3 separate regions of the Mus musculus genome follow, and regions 1 and 2 are each reported to be linked to region 3. Evidence: microRNA targets listed by miRTarBase, many of them from high-throughput screens and not tested one by one. Region 3 holds a microRNA gene; each other region holds the end of a gene's coding sequence.
Evidence for each region. Region 3 holds the annotated microRNA mmu-miR-758-3p (UUUGUGACCUGGUCCACUA, at 2,702-2,720, shown strand). A microRNA usually pairs through its seed, bases 2 to 8, with sites in the 3' UTR of a target mRNA and lowers its output. Matches are read on the target gene's strand: a 7mer-m8 pairs with bases 2 to 8, a 7mer-A1 pairs with bases 2 to 7 and ends in A, and an 8mer does both.

Region 1 (4,064 bases), not on the chromosome of region 3:
CACCCGCACCACATGCCCCGCCCCCTCAGCCACACCCACCCGCGGGGTTTGTGCCTGCTTGCACTGCTCCTGTGCGGGGTACTTGTCCATGCTGAAAAAGGCATCAAAGAACTCACCTGCCAGGCTCAAGCGCTTCAGGCCACAAAGCGTGATCCGACCTAGGGGTCAGGGGTCACAAGGGTCACGCACAGGGCGCCCCTGCTGGGGTCACCCGTGACGACACCTGGTGTAAGGGGTCAAACTGGGGTCACACACGGGGTCGCCCGTGTTGTCACCTGGGGTCAGGGGTCACCCACAAAGCAACCTGAGCTTACAATGGGGAGGTAGTGTCAGAGGTCACCCTGGAATTTACAGGCTAACCCTAGGGGTCAGGAGTCCCCCACAGGGTCAGAGGTTGCCCGTGGCCGGGATCCTAGCCGTCTGCTCACTGGGCTCGGGGCGAAGAGGTCGAGCACCTGGTGCGTGAGGTGGCAGAAAAGGAGGAGCTCCATGCCTTGGGGGGCCATGTGCCAGGCCTGCTCCTCATAGAACTCGAGCTCGACCACCACGCAGCGGAACCAGTACTCAGTGCTGCGGGGGTGGGTGGGGTTGGGGGGTCAGAGGTCACGGGGGCGGGTCAATGGGCGGGGTCACAGTCAAGGAGTGGAGGCAAGGGGTAAGGGTCAGAGATCATGGTGTCTGTGGGCAGGATCAGGGGTCAGAGGTCAGCAGGGTCACGGTGGCGGGGTCATGAGATCAGGGTCAGAGTTCATGAGGTGGGGGTCATAGCATCGGTGGTTGGGGTCAGTCAGCCAGGATCAAGCGGGGGGGGGGGGGGGGGGGGCGGAGACAGAGCATCCTATAGGCGTGGCCATGTCAGGGTGAAGCCAGAGTTGGTGGGCGTGACCACAGAGAAGCGAGGTAAGGAGCAAGCAGGAGGCATGGCTGACTGGGGCACCGCCCCTCACGTGATCTTGTCCTCCTCTGAGAGCAGGCACCACATGAGTTCAGCATAGCCCAGCTTCCTGGCACTGCACAGGGGCTGCGCCCTGTGGGGTCAGGGGGCGGATTGTCACAAGGAAGTGGCCAGGTTGGACAGGGTGTAGGGGTGGTGATGACGTCACAGGGAGTGGGGGTCAGGGGTGGGAGGGGCCTGCAGATGACGTCATAAGGAAATGGACGGGGTCATACAGGAAGTGATGACATCAGACAGGAAGTGGGGGCAGTGATGACACCACAGGAATTGGAGTCAGTGGTGGGAGGGGACAGAAGTCACGTCCTCCCCAGACCCCCGCTCACCTCCCAGGCTGCTCACTGGGTGACAGCACCGGAGAGAGAAGACGCAGTCTATCATCCAGGAAGAGATGGCTGCAAGGGCAGGGCGGGGTCAGGGTGATGGAGACCACGCCCATTGAGGCGGAGGCCACGCCCACTCCACACGTCAGGCCACAACCACCTCCCCCTTGGTGTGCCTGCCAATCACGAGGTCCAATCACCAGTTTGTGGCCAAGGTCGACCTCCCAGGCCCCGCCCCTGGCCCCCGCCCACATGAAGCCCCACCCACATGCCAATCATGAAGTGGTGGTCGCTGTCCCTGCCTCCTCAACCCGCCCTCTGACCCTGCCTCCTGTCTCGAGACCCCAATCTCGAACCCCCGCCCTTTACCCTGAGTCCCACCCCTGACCCTGCCCCCACCATTCACCCCAGTCCCCAGTCCCCGTAGCGCTCGAGGTCTCACCAGTCTATGGCGAGGTCGCCGTCCAGGTCGAGCTCCCAGAACTTGCAGTAGATGACATAGAAATGCTCACAGGAGAAGAACAAGAACGAATGTTATGCGGTTGATGTCTGGCTGGCCTGCAGGGGACAAGGACCAGGTTCAGGACACGCCCACCGACCCAGGGGTGTCCAGTGGAGCACTTCTGGTGTGGGGCACGCCCACATCTGCGCTAAGTCACGCCTACCTAATTGTGGTCACTTCCTGTTGCAGCTACTCCCTTGTAGGACACACCCACTTCCTGTCCTTGACACACCCATACCCCAAGATACGCCCATACCCTAAGACTGCCTACTGCCTGGCTAATGGACAAGGACTCATGAACGACCACTTCCTATGTTGGACACGCCCACAACCAGGCCCTGCCCATCCCTGGGAGGTCCTGTCCAAAGACAGAAAACCTCTCCCACAAGAAGTCCAGAAGAACAAGCTTGCCCACATCCCGGGCCCCGCCCACACCTGCAGGAAGCAGCTGTGCCTCAGCTCCTCCCGCAAGATCATCCCAGACCATGACTGGTTCACTGTGTAGAAGATCCTCTGAGTCACATGGGGGAGGAGCCGGGGTCACAGGGTCGGAGGTGGAGCCATGGCTATGAGTGTGGCCTGGCACTAGGGGCGGGGCTGTGGGGAATTGGGCAGGGCTAGGGCGGGGCCAAGGCAGGAATCAGGTAAAGTCTTTATGGGCGGGGCCAAGGGCTATGGGCGGAGTCTGGGCAGGGTCAGAGGGATTCATAGTGAACCTAACAGCTATGAGTAGAGTCAGGGGCATGGTCAGGGCAGTCAAGAGATTCACAGAGCACCTGAGGTTTGGCCTGGGACTGTGTGGGTGTGGCTGAACGCCAGGTGTTTGTGGCCTTGGATTATGGGCGGAAATCTCAGGGCTGTGAGCGGGGGGGGGGGGGGGGGGGGGATCTCGGGGTCTGGGCATGTCCCGTGGTTGGGGGCGTATCGGGGCGTGTCCACTCACAGTGGTGATGTAACGCTAGTGGAACTCCTTTGCTGCTTTCAGGAAGGCCAGGCCCCGGTGCGAGTTCACCATGTCCTGCTGGGTTGGGAGGGGTCCGTGGTCGGGGGGAGGGGGTCAGTGTTCAGGGGGTGGGGTCACGGGCAGGGTGGGCGGACACAGGGGCAGGGACAGGAAGTGATGTCAGGGAAAGGTCCGTCACTGTCAGACAAGGACACCACCAGACTATGGGGTGTGGCCCGGGCATCAGGGCAGGGCCTGGGTGAGTTGGGCGGGGCCTGCAGAGAGCACAGGAAGCAGAGAACACAGAGGAAAAGACAGGAAGTGACATCACTTACAGTCACAGGGGAGTTGCCAGCATGTGTGGGTGGGGCCTAGATCCCAGGGCGGGGCCTGGGCGAGGTGGTACTCACCACCCGCAGTTCTGTCCTCCCTTGGTTCTTACCCTTTCTCTCCCTCAGGGCCACCAGGACAGCATATTCATGAAACTCGTTTACATACCTGCGAATTCTTGAGGTACATTTGCTCATTGCCCCGCCCAGATGGATGGGGAGATGATGTCACCCTGATGTTACCCCCACTAGACGCTGGGATGCTCCTCAAGCCCCGCCCTTTCTGGTCAGGAATTAATGATGGCTGGCCGCATTAGCATAGCATTTGCATTTTATTTGAATATTTGTGACCACATTTGCATACAGACAGGCACAGGATTTGTGAGTTTGAATTATTTAAAGACAGGAAGTGACCTCAGCCTGAAGTATAGACTGGCAGTGACTTCAAGGTCACAGGGTCATGTAGCCGCTGTCGCCCACCATGAACGTGGCCCCGCCCACTGACACCATGGCCCCGCCTCCCGGCCCCCTTGGCTCGAAGCTGGGTGGCCTTGGCACGGTGCAGAGGGAGGTGCCGTCCTCGGGCTCCACCCTCTTAGCCTTGGTGTGGATGAGGTCATCTTCCTCCTCGGTCCTGGCTGGCGGGGCTGTGGCCTGGGCGTCCGCAATCCAGGCCTGCAGCGAAAGGGGTTGTGTGTGTGGAGGGGGGGGGTGGAGGGAAGGGGGTGGGGGGAGGGGGAGGGGAGCGGTGCCTGGAGTCAGGCAGTGGCCCGTGACGCCTGTCACTCCCATCATCCCCCTGCCTCATGCCCTCACTCTCCGGGGACAGGAAGTGACCCCCCACAGCGATCCTGACCCCCCCCCCCCCCCCGCGCACCTGGAAGTTCCCGTGATGCTTCTCAAAGAGTCCAGGGAAGGAGCCGCTGGGGTCAGGGACGCAGGGCAGCAGCGCATCTTTCACCCTGGGGTTCAGGGTCAGGGGTCAGGGTTCACCTGACACCCCCATGCCATGCCC
Region 2 (4,064 bases), not on the chromosome of region 3:
TCATAAATTAAACAATTTCCATACATGAAATTTCTCTGTCCTATCAGACGTATTGTAAATCCATAAGGCTAATGTTGGTATTGGACTTATTTCCATTAACTTACATTTTTAAAAAATTAGATATTTTCCTTATTTACATATCAAAAGTTTTCCCCTTTCTAGGTCTCATAGTATAATTTTGCATGTGGCTGTGATTCATCAGTCAAAACTTGGATTATACTCTAATTAAGAACTCTTGTCTTATAGAGTATATTTTCAAAAAATTTGCAGACTATAATGTGAATTCTTTCTTTAAAATCCATCTGAATGACCCCAATGATATGATAACACTATCATGTGACTTTTTGTTTCCATACCTACAGATTTGTGCTACCTCCTACTGCTAACATCCGTAAGTCCATCCCACAAACACCCCCAGTAGCTGGAAACCTACTAGTTTGGAGAGTTTTCAGCTAGATAACCATGTAGATGGTTTACCTGTGTGAACTCCAAGAACTTCTTACTATAATGTGTCAGGAAAAAATATCTAAGTCTGCCAAAAATACAAAGAGCATATCTATAGATAGTAAGTATACTTCTTTAAAAGCTGGGTAAACTAGTCTTGCAAGCAGAACAAGAAATGCTTTAAGGCTTATATTGAGGAGATTTTTAACAACAGATTTCCTATAATTTCCCCATTACAACTTGTAAGATTTTGAGTGTTCCCCTTCATATTATTATTGATAGTAATAAACATTGTTAAATGTGACATCTATGAACTTATTTAATTACTACAGCAAAGAAATTAATTGGCTATACTTTCGATAAAACAGATCACTAAATTAGTACTTGACGATACTTTGCAACTTCCTTCGTTTCTTCTTTGGTGAGTCATGGGGGATGAGATAGTCTGGGGATCAACCCAAGGCCCCAGTATGAACAGTGGTAATTTAGGCTTTAGTAAAAGTCTGAGATTTGAGGAAAATATCTACTTTTCTTCAAGTTCAATAATATAGTACTACTTGCAACGAATACAAGCGCTTTCCAAAGATTTACCAAATCTTATCAAAATTCTTGTCTTATGCTATTAATGAGATATTACATATTACCAATTTAGAAGGAAAAACATCCCAGTTTTCATGTGATAAAGTAGCCATGGAAGCACTTGCTGCTGCAGAGACTCTTTCTGAAAAGTAAATGAATAAATGCCTTCTTGAAAACCTTACTTCCTTAGAGAATTTAGCCCAAGTATAGAAAATGTTAAATCATCCTATTTACTATAACAGGCTAGTAAGCTTCCTGGGAGTCCAGGGCAGGGGATGATAGAGAAGAACAACAAAATGCTAAACAAAACAAAACAAAACAAAACAAAACAAACAAACAATGAGAGGAGTTGTACTTAACATTCTTAATTCTGGGATAGAACTTAAAGATCCGTGTTGATGTACTTTAAAGGATAAATCCCTGCATTTAATTTTTATTAAATATGTTCTCACATTTAATACATTGTTTTCACATTCATATATACATACAAAAGTTGGGAGGCCTTAGAAACATGTTTATAATGTAAATATACCTTTATATAATACTGTGAAATAAAATCTGAATAAAAATTTTATTCCAACAACATTTCTCTATTTTCAACTTTGTTTATTGTTTTAAGTTTCTTTTTTTTTTAAACCACAGTGGAAATTAACTTATGCTTAATCATCCAGTTAGTGTCTATTGTCAACTTTACCAAATGCCAAAAGTAAAATCAACTCATTCATACACTCTATGCTCTGTTACCACCCACCATTCATTGCCTGATCATTTTCCTCTTTGAATGGCAATGTTGTGATAAGATTGTGAAAAGGTGTAACTAACAGGTTTGTATAGATACCATTTCAAGTATTCAGAAAGCAGTACGCTGTATGCATTGTGCATTAAAAAACTATTGATATTAAATCTAAGTATATGAGACTGGCTCCTGGTGGGAGTGTCACAAAGTTGTATGTCACAGTGTATGACAAGGATTTACAGCATTCTAGATTTTTCACAACTCTGCCATGTTAGTGAGTGACATTAAGTAAATATTTCATTTCTCTACTCTCAAGTGTCAAATATGGGATTTCCAACCACAAATAAATAATGCACACACAGAGCATGTGCAGTGCAAATGCTCAGTAAACAGAGTGACATAGAATAAGCTTACAGTGCCATTTAGTAAGTGGTTCAACATGGAGGTCCTGAATTTATGAAAGTTGTGACTTGTCTCCATGTTCCAAACAGATACTGTCATTGTCCCATGTCAAGCACAATGACAAAAAAGGCTACTGAGTTGGGCTGATGTAGTGAGGAGGGAATGGAAACTCATTTGCACAAATGGGTGGTACAATTTCTGTCATTTCTGTGTAGCAGGTAAAGTCTTATTTGCTGACAAACCTCAAACTCCTGCAGCTAAAGCAGGCAGCAAGGAGAACTGCAAATGTTCTGTTTGGAAGAAGGATACGTTGGCACCTATATACTATATACTATATTGTGGCCCAGATAATAAAAGGAATGAAAGGTGATTATTCTAAAGTTAAAACTTTAGAAGTGATACCTGAATACTCAAAACTCAAATTCTGGAATATCTAAGTCAAATAAGCATTTACACATGGCTCTGCTTCCAAGTGCTATTTAAGCAATAATCTTCAGTACTTTGAACAAAAGTAAGAGCTTTGTTGCTCTGTCCTAATTAGAAAATTCTTCCAGAGAAAAATCATTGGTAGGAGAAAAATATTAGCAAAATGTGAAAACCTTTTCACTCATTTACTTCATTGCATGTTTTCCTTCACAAGTGTCTATAGTTGGTAAGAAAAAAGCATTTACAAAAAATAAAAATAAAATAAAAATGTCTATAATAAACAAAAATACAAAAATTGTGCCACCCATCTTTTCACTTGCCACTTTACACCGAGTTTAGGAAACAGTTTTTGAAATACTGTTACAAACTAAATACAAATAGAAGCTAAAACTCAATGACGTAGGAAACATACACACATCTTATCAAGAGAAAAACACCATCCCTCACCTGTAACACATACATAACATTTAAAACTAAGGTCTGACACGTCACTTAATTGATTTAAATAATTAAGGCTTCTAAATGGTTCACTGCCAACTCTCTGCATCAGTATTAGAATAAAATACATTTTTGCATTTAGGGTTGTGCTCTTTACAGACATTTTATCCATGGAATCTCATTAATAAGATCTGATGAGGGCATGTTAGGACTGTTTGCTGACATTTACTTTTAGTAGCTGTTAGACTAAAGAATAGCACTACAGACTTGGCCCCTTCACCTGGGCTGTCGGATCATCTCACCTTCTTTTCGTGTTTAACACGACCATTGCCTTTGTATTTGCCATTGCGGATTCCATTTTGGTAATGTCCATTAACTGTGCTATGCTCATTTTTAGACCATAGACTTTTGATTTTTCTATAGATAAATTTTGTCACATAGGACAATATGAAGTAGAGCAAGACAGCACCAAGCAGAAGCACAAAGGCAATATCCAGTAGGAAATACTGGCAGAAAGAGATCTGATGGACAGCAGAACGGAGGTGACGGGCTCCGTCATGGCGAAGAATGTAGTCTATCCAATAGGTAGTCCGATTGACAGGGTGGCCGGGTTGATCCTTGTGAATTTCCGATAACTTCTGAGCCCTCTGCCGATAACTGCAGTGGAGACAAACATGATATGATCATGCATACACAGGTTCTGTACTGATAGATATCTCAATTTAGAAATATGATAAATGACTGATATTCCTCTTTAAGCATGTAAGGGTGCTCCAAGCACTGGGTTAAATGCTTTAAATACTTACAACATCTCCATATAGTTCAACCTGGTGAGAACAAGCAAACCTAGCAACATGAAATCTTTCCCCAGATGGGAGGCAGATTTATATTTTCTGACCCAAACTCTTTCCACACCACATTATATACTCTCCCCACCAGATGCTTCTAAACGATGTTAAACAAAGTGTCTCTTCAGAAAAGGGGCATTTTAAAATTCTACAAAAAGGATAGAGAAAAGCAGGGAAATTTTCCCACCAGT
Region 3 (4,065 bases):
GTCCTCGGCGTCTCTGTGTGGTACTTGGAGAGATAGTAGACCGTATAGCGTACGCTTTATCTGTGACGTATGTAACACGGTCCACTAACCCTCAGTATCAAATCCATCCCCGAGGCCCCTGGAGAAGATGCTGTCTTCGGGGAGACGCCAGTAGACTCATCATCAGGGCTTCTCCATGATGCTGGAAGAGATGGTTTTCAATATGGCGTGTGTTCTTTCCTGCATGATGGGAAATGACATAATCTCCCCCTTCCTCTGCTGAGCTCTGCCTTGGGAACTCTTGCCATCTCTGGGGAGGAGACCACAAAGCTTTCTGGGATCAGTGCTCTTCGTGACCTCAGTGACAGGGGTGTCTAGGCGACTCTTGGTTAGTAGACTCCATGACCTGCTTCTTCTCAACACCATCCCTGAAGAGGTGTCCTGAGGCAACCTGGCAGACATGAACCTTCTTACAGCTGTCCTTGCTGTCACGCGGTACTTGAAGAAATGGTTTACCGTCCCACATACATTTTGAGTATGTATGTGGGACGGTAAACCGCTTCTTGGTATCCAGCCCAGCCATCCAGTCCATACCATCCTCGAGCAAGCCTGAAGTGAGAGAAGAAACGTTGTTTTGGCTTGCTCTCTACATCGGGCTGCTTGGCCAAACATCCCTCTGCTTTTTGTGTGCTTTCTCTGTTAATTCATGTGGCAAGGTGTTCCTGTCAGCTTCAGTGCAGCCCTTAAGGGCTTCTTCAAGGATGATGACAACCTCCAGGAAGGTGTCCTACATCCCAACTGGGCATGCTCCCTCCCTCCTTAGGACTTGAAAAAGTGGCAATTAGCTCCACAGATGCTCATCATCAAGGGATGCTGCGTGTTTTCATCATCTGCAAAGCTATCATCAGATGCCTTCAAGACATTATGCCCATAGAAGGACAGCTAGGGCTACATGATACAGTGCAAAGACAGATGCATGAAGACACAGTCCCTGTTTCCACTGATGCTTCGTATATAGTATCTTTTTTTCCATATCAAGTCTAGCCTTCTAGAGGAAGATGACCCAGCCTGGCTCCTCCATGTATGCTTACAGATCAAAGTTGCTTCTTGGCTCACTTCTTCTTACCTCCAGCCCAGCCTTGGAGAACTTGCTGAAGATGCTGCTAGCCTCAGAGACAGGGCTCTGGTTCTTGCATCAGCAATGACCTCACGGTACCTGAAGAGGGATCAAGCAAACTGCATGTGTATTATTAACACCATTTGTAACCTGGCCTACTCTTTTCAATATCAACTTCAGCTTTGAAGGTTTCCAAAGAGGCCCCATTAACCTTGGGGGTGGGGGGGCAAGGCAGAAGGACAAATGCCTTGGGGTAGAGGTTGTCCATGCTTCTTGCTTTACTTACAGCGCATGTTAATTTGGTCCACCTTCCCATAATAGTGAATGCGCCTTGGGGGCTTCCTGTGAACAATATTTCCTTAAAGGCACAGTGCTAGTTACGGGGTCTTCTCTTCGCGTCCTTGCAAACTTCTCTTTGCTATATTCTCTGCATCTGCAGCAGGCAATGCATGGTGGTCTCTTTTCAACATTGCATCTAGGGTTTCCTGGAAGTGATAATCATGAGGAAAGAAGCCAGCTCCTGCACCACCCTCTCTCCATGGTACCTGAAAAGATGGTTGACCATAGAACATGCGCTACTTCTGTGTCGTATGTAGTATGGTCCACATCTTCTCGTTATCAAAGTCATTCGTGAGGGTTTTCCAGAGACCGAGCCAACTTCATGGGAGATATCCTGTCCTGGCTTCAGCACAGTACTTGGGGAGATGGTAGACTGTCGAGTGTGTGCGTTAATTCCAGCATGTACAGCATGGTCCACCACATCTCTGCATCAGCCGGTCACCAGGGGCTTTCTGAAAGCCATACCAATTGAGAGTAGGGCTCAGGCGGCAGACCCTATCCAACACAGATTACCCAGTGCTTGGCTACAGGCCATGTTCATTACCTACGACTCTGGCCATTTGATCCAAAGCCAATATTTGGCACCCAGCCCAGCCTTACAGGGCATCCTGGAAGTCATAGTGGCATTAAACATGAGTTTGTGGCCATTGCCACACATGCCGATTGCTGGTAGTTTGTGACACTCATTGAGAAGGCATTTTGGAGGTAACACCAAATTAAGTAAAGTGAGCTGGAATCAGCCAGCGTTACCTCAAGGTATTTGAAGATGCGGTTGACCATGGTGTGTACGCTTTATTTATGACGTAGGACACATGGTCTACTTCTTCTCAATATCACATCTCGCCTTGGAAGACTTCCAGGAGGTGACATCTGCTTTGAGGAAGAGCCAGTGTCCCGGTCTTCCTACTGCTGCTGCTTGGTACTTGGAGAGAGGTGGTCCGTGGCGCGTTCGCTTCATTTATGGCGCACATTACACGGTCGACCTCTTTGCGGTATCTAATCCCGCCTTGCGAGCTTTCCTGGAGCTAACACCAGCTGTGGGGTGGGGACACTAAATGTGTGTGCTAGCGCAACCCAGCCAGCGGGTTTGTCTTTTCTTGTGTCTGACAATAACTCTTGTGTGGCAGCCTTCTTCTCAGCAAATTTCTCTGGCTTGGCAGCTTCGTGGGCAGGGTGACTTGCAGACCAGGAAAGTGGCATCGACATGTGATACACGTGTGGGTGCGTGAGGTGGTTGACCAGAGAGCACACGCTATATTTGTGCCGTTTGTGACCTGGTCCACTAACCCTCAGTATCTAACCTTCCCTTGGAGAACTTCCTGGAAGAGATCTCAACTTTTGGGGACAGAGGCAATAAGCCAGCTGTACGCTGTTAGACTTGGAGACAGCATCCTCAGTACTTGCAACATATGTGCCTGTTATGGTAGTATTGGATGGGCTTCCAATGCTGTCCTATACTTGGATCCCTTCCTTGATATGGGGCCATCCAAGTTCAAGAAACGTACCATGTTGTCAGACATGACCAGGGTGTGTGTATGCCATTTATATATGGCACAGGTCGCAGGTCACCTTAGCACACTTGCATGCTAAATCTGTGGGAGGAATCATCTTTGGTTTGGGGGCATCTGTGCCTTTCTGTGGTTACCCAAAATGGTGGTAAGTCCTATAGCCAGTCTCTACTGCGCCACTGCTCTCTGGTTGTGACATAACTTCAGGATCATGCCATGGAGGTCTGCTGTACTGGGGCATGTGATGGGATGGCTGTCAGATATATATCAACTAATGGCTTGCTTGAGCACTTTGACTAACATCCAGTGTGCAACCCTGCATTCAACAGGCCTGCCAGGTCTGAAGGTCACGTTGGGGAATTACCGAGGTAGTCTTGTCAGTGTTCGCTTCTGGTACCGGAAGAGAGGTTTTCTGGGTCTCTGTTTCTTTGATGAGAATGAAACACACCCAGCTAACCTTTTTTTCAGTATCAAATCCCATCTTGGAGGCTTCGTGGTCCAGATCCCAGTCTCAGGGAAGGATGGTCCTGTCAGCATCCAGCCAGGGGACAGGAATAACTGGTTCTCCACAAAGCCAGCGAGTGGATTATCGTTCTGAATGGTGTCCTTTGTCCTCTAAACCCTCCCAGGCCTGCCAGGTCTGAAGGTCCAGTTTGGGAAGGTGTCATTGTTATTGTTAACTGAGGATGTGGAAGAGGGGTTTCTGTGTTTGAAACACATTTGGTCAACCTCTCTTCCCATCAGAACAAACTATGGAGGCCTTCTGGTCCATACCTCAGCCTCAGCTGAGGACACACTAATAGTTATGAACAAGTGAGTGACGGACAAAACCCATCCCATACATCAGATTTCTGTTGCCTGTGCTTCTAACCTTCAGTATCTTGTCCATTCTCAGGAGGACTTCTCAACCAATATGGTGTTCCAAAGTTGGGGAAGATGGCAGCCACCGAGGCAACTCTACCCCAGGTCATCACAGGTAGGTTGCACCCACTTTGCTTCTAACAGGTTAGACACAGCCACCCCCACACATGTCCAGCATGCTTTGGAGGCACGGTGATGGGCTTTTAATCAGCCAACCCCTGCTATAGGACTGTCTATTGTAGAGAACACCCACTGTGTCAG

Region 1: miRTarBase lists Crlf2 as a target of mmu-miR-758-3p. Seed matches in the 3' UTR shown: 7mer-A1 at 3,428-3,434 and 8mer at 3,393-3,400.
Region 2: the mRNA of Ugt8a is a reported target of mmu-miR-758-3p. Seed matches in the 3' UTR shown: 7mer-m8 at 2,223-2,229.

What each region holds. Positions count from the first base shown.
Region 1 is chr5:109,551,347-109,555,410 of GRCm38, forward strand. It overlaps Crlf2 (cytokine receptor-like factor 2), which reads right to left. Exons shown (of 8, transcript NM_016715.4): 7 at 3,927-4,011; 8 at 3,363-3,724. The coding sequence ends at 3,500. It overlaps Gm8493 (a long non-coding RNA gene), which reads right to left and starts at 2,640. Exons shown (of 6, transcript XR_880564.2): 1 at 2,213-2,640; 2 at 1,718-1,833; 3 at 1,279-1,347; 4 at 117-1,028.
Region 2 is chr3:125,863,898-125,867,961 of GRCm38, forward strand. It overlaps Ugt8a (UDP galactosyltransferase 8A), which reads right to left. Exons shown (of 6, transcript NM_011674.5): 6 at 1,375-3,682. The coding sequence ends at 3,319. Among named protein-coding and RNA genes, the nearest start is that of Gm40145, 33 kb to the right of the region's middle.
Region 3 is chr12:109,710,157-109,714,221 of GRCm38, forward strand. It overlaps Mir758 (microRNA 758), which reads left to right and starts at 2,654; the gene lies at 2,654-2,734. It overlaps Mir411 (microRNA 411), which reads left to right and starts at 19; the gene lies at 19-100. It overlaps Mir299a (microRNA 299a), which reads left to right and starts at 482; the gene lies at 482-544. Mir299b (microRNA 299b) reads right to left here and starts at 537; the gene lies at 489-537. It also overlaps Mir380, Mir1197, Mir323 and Mir329.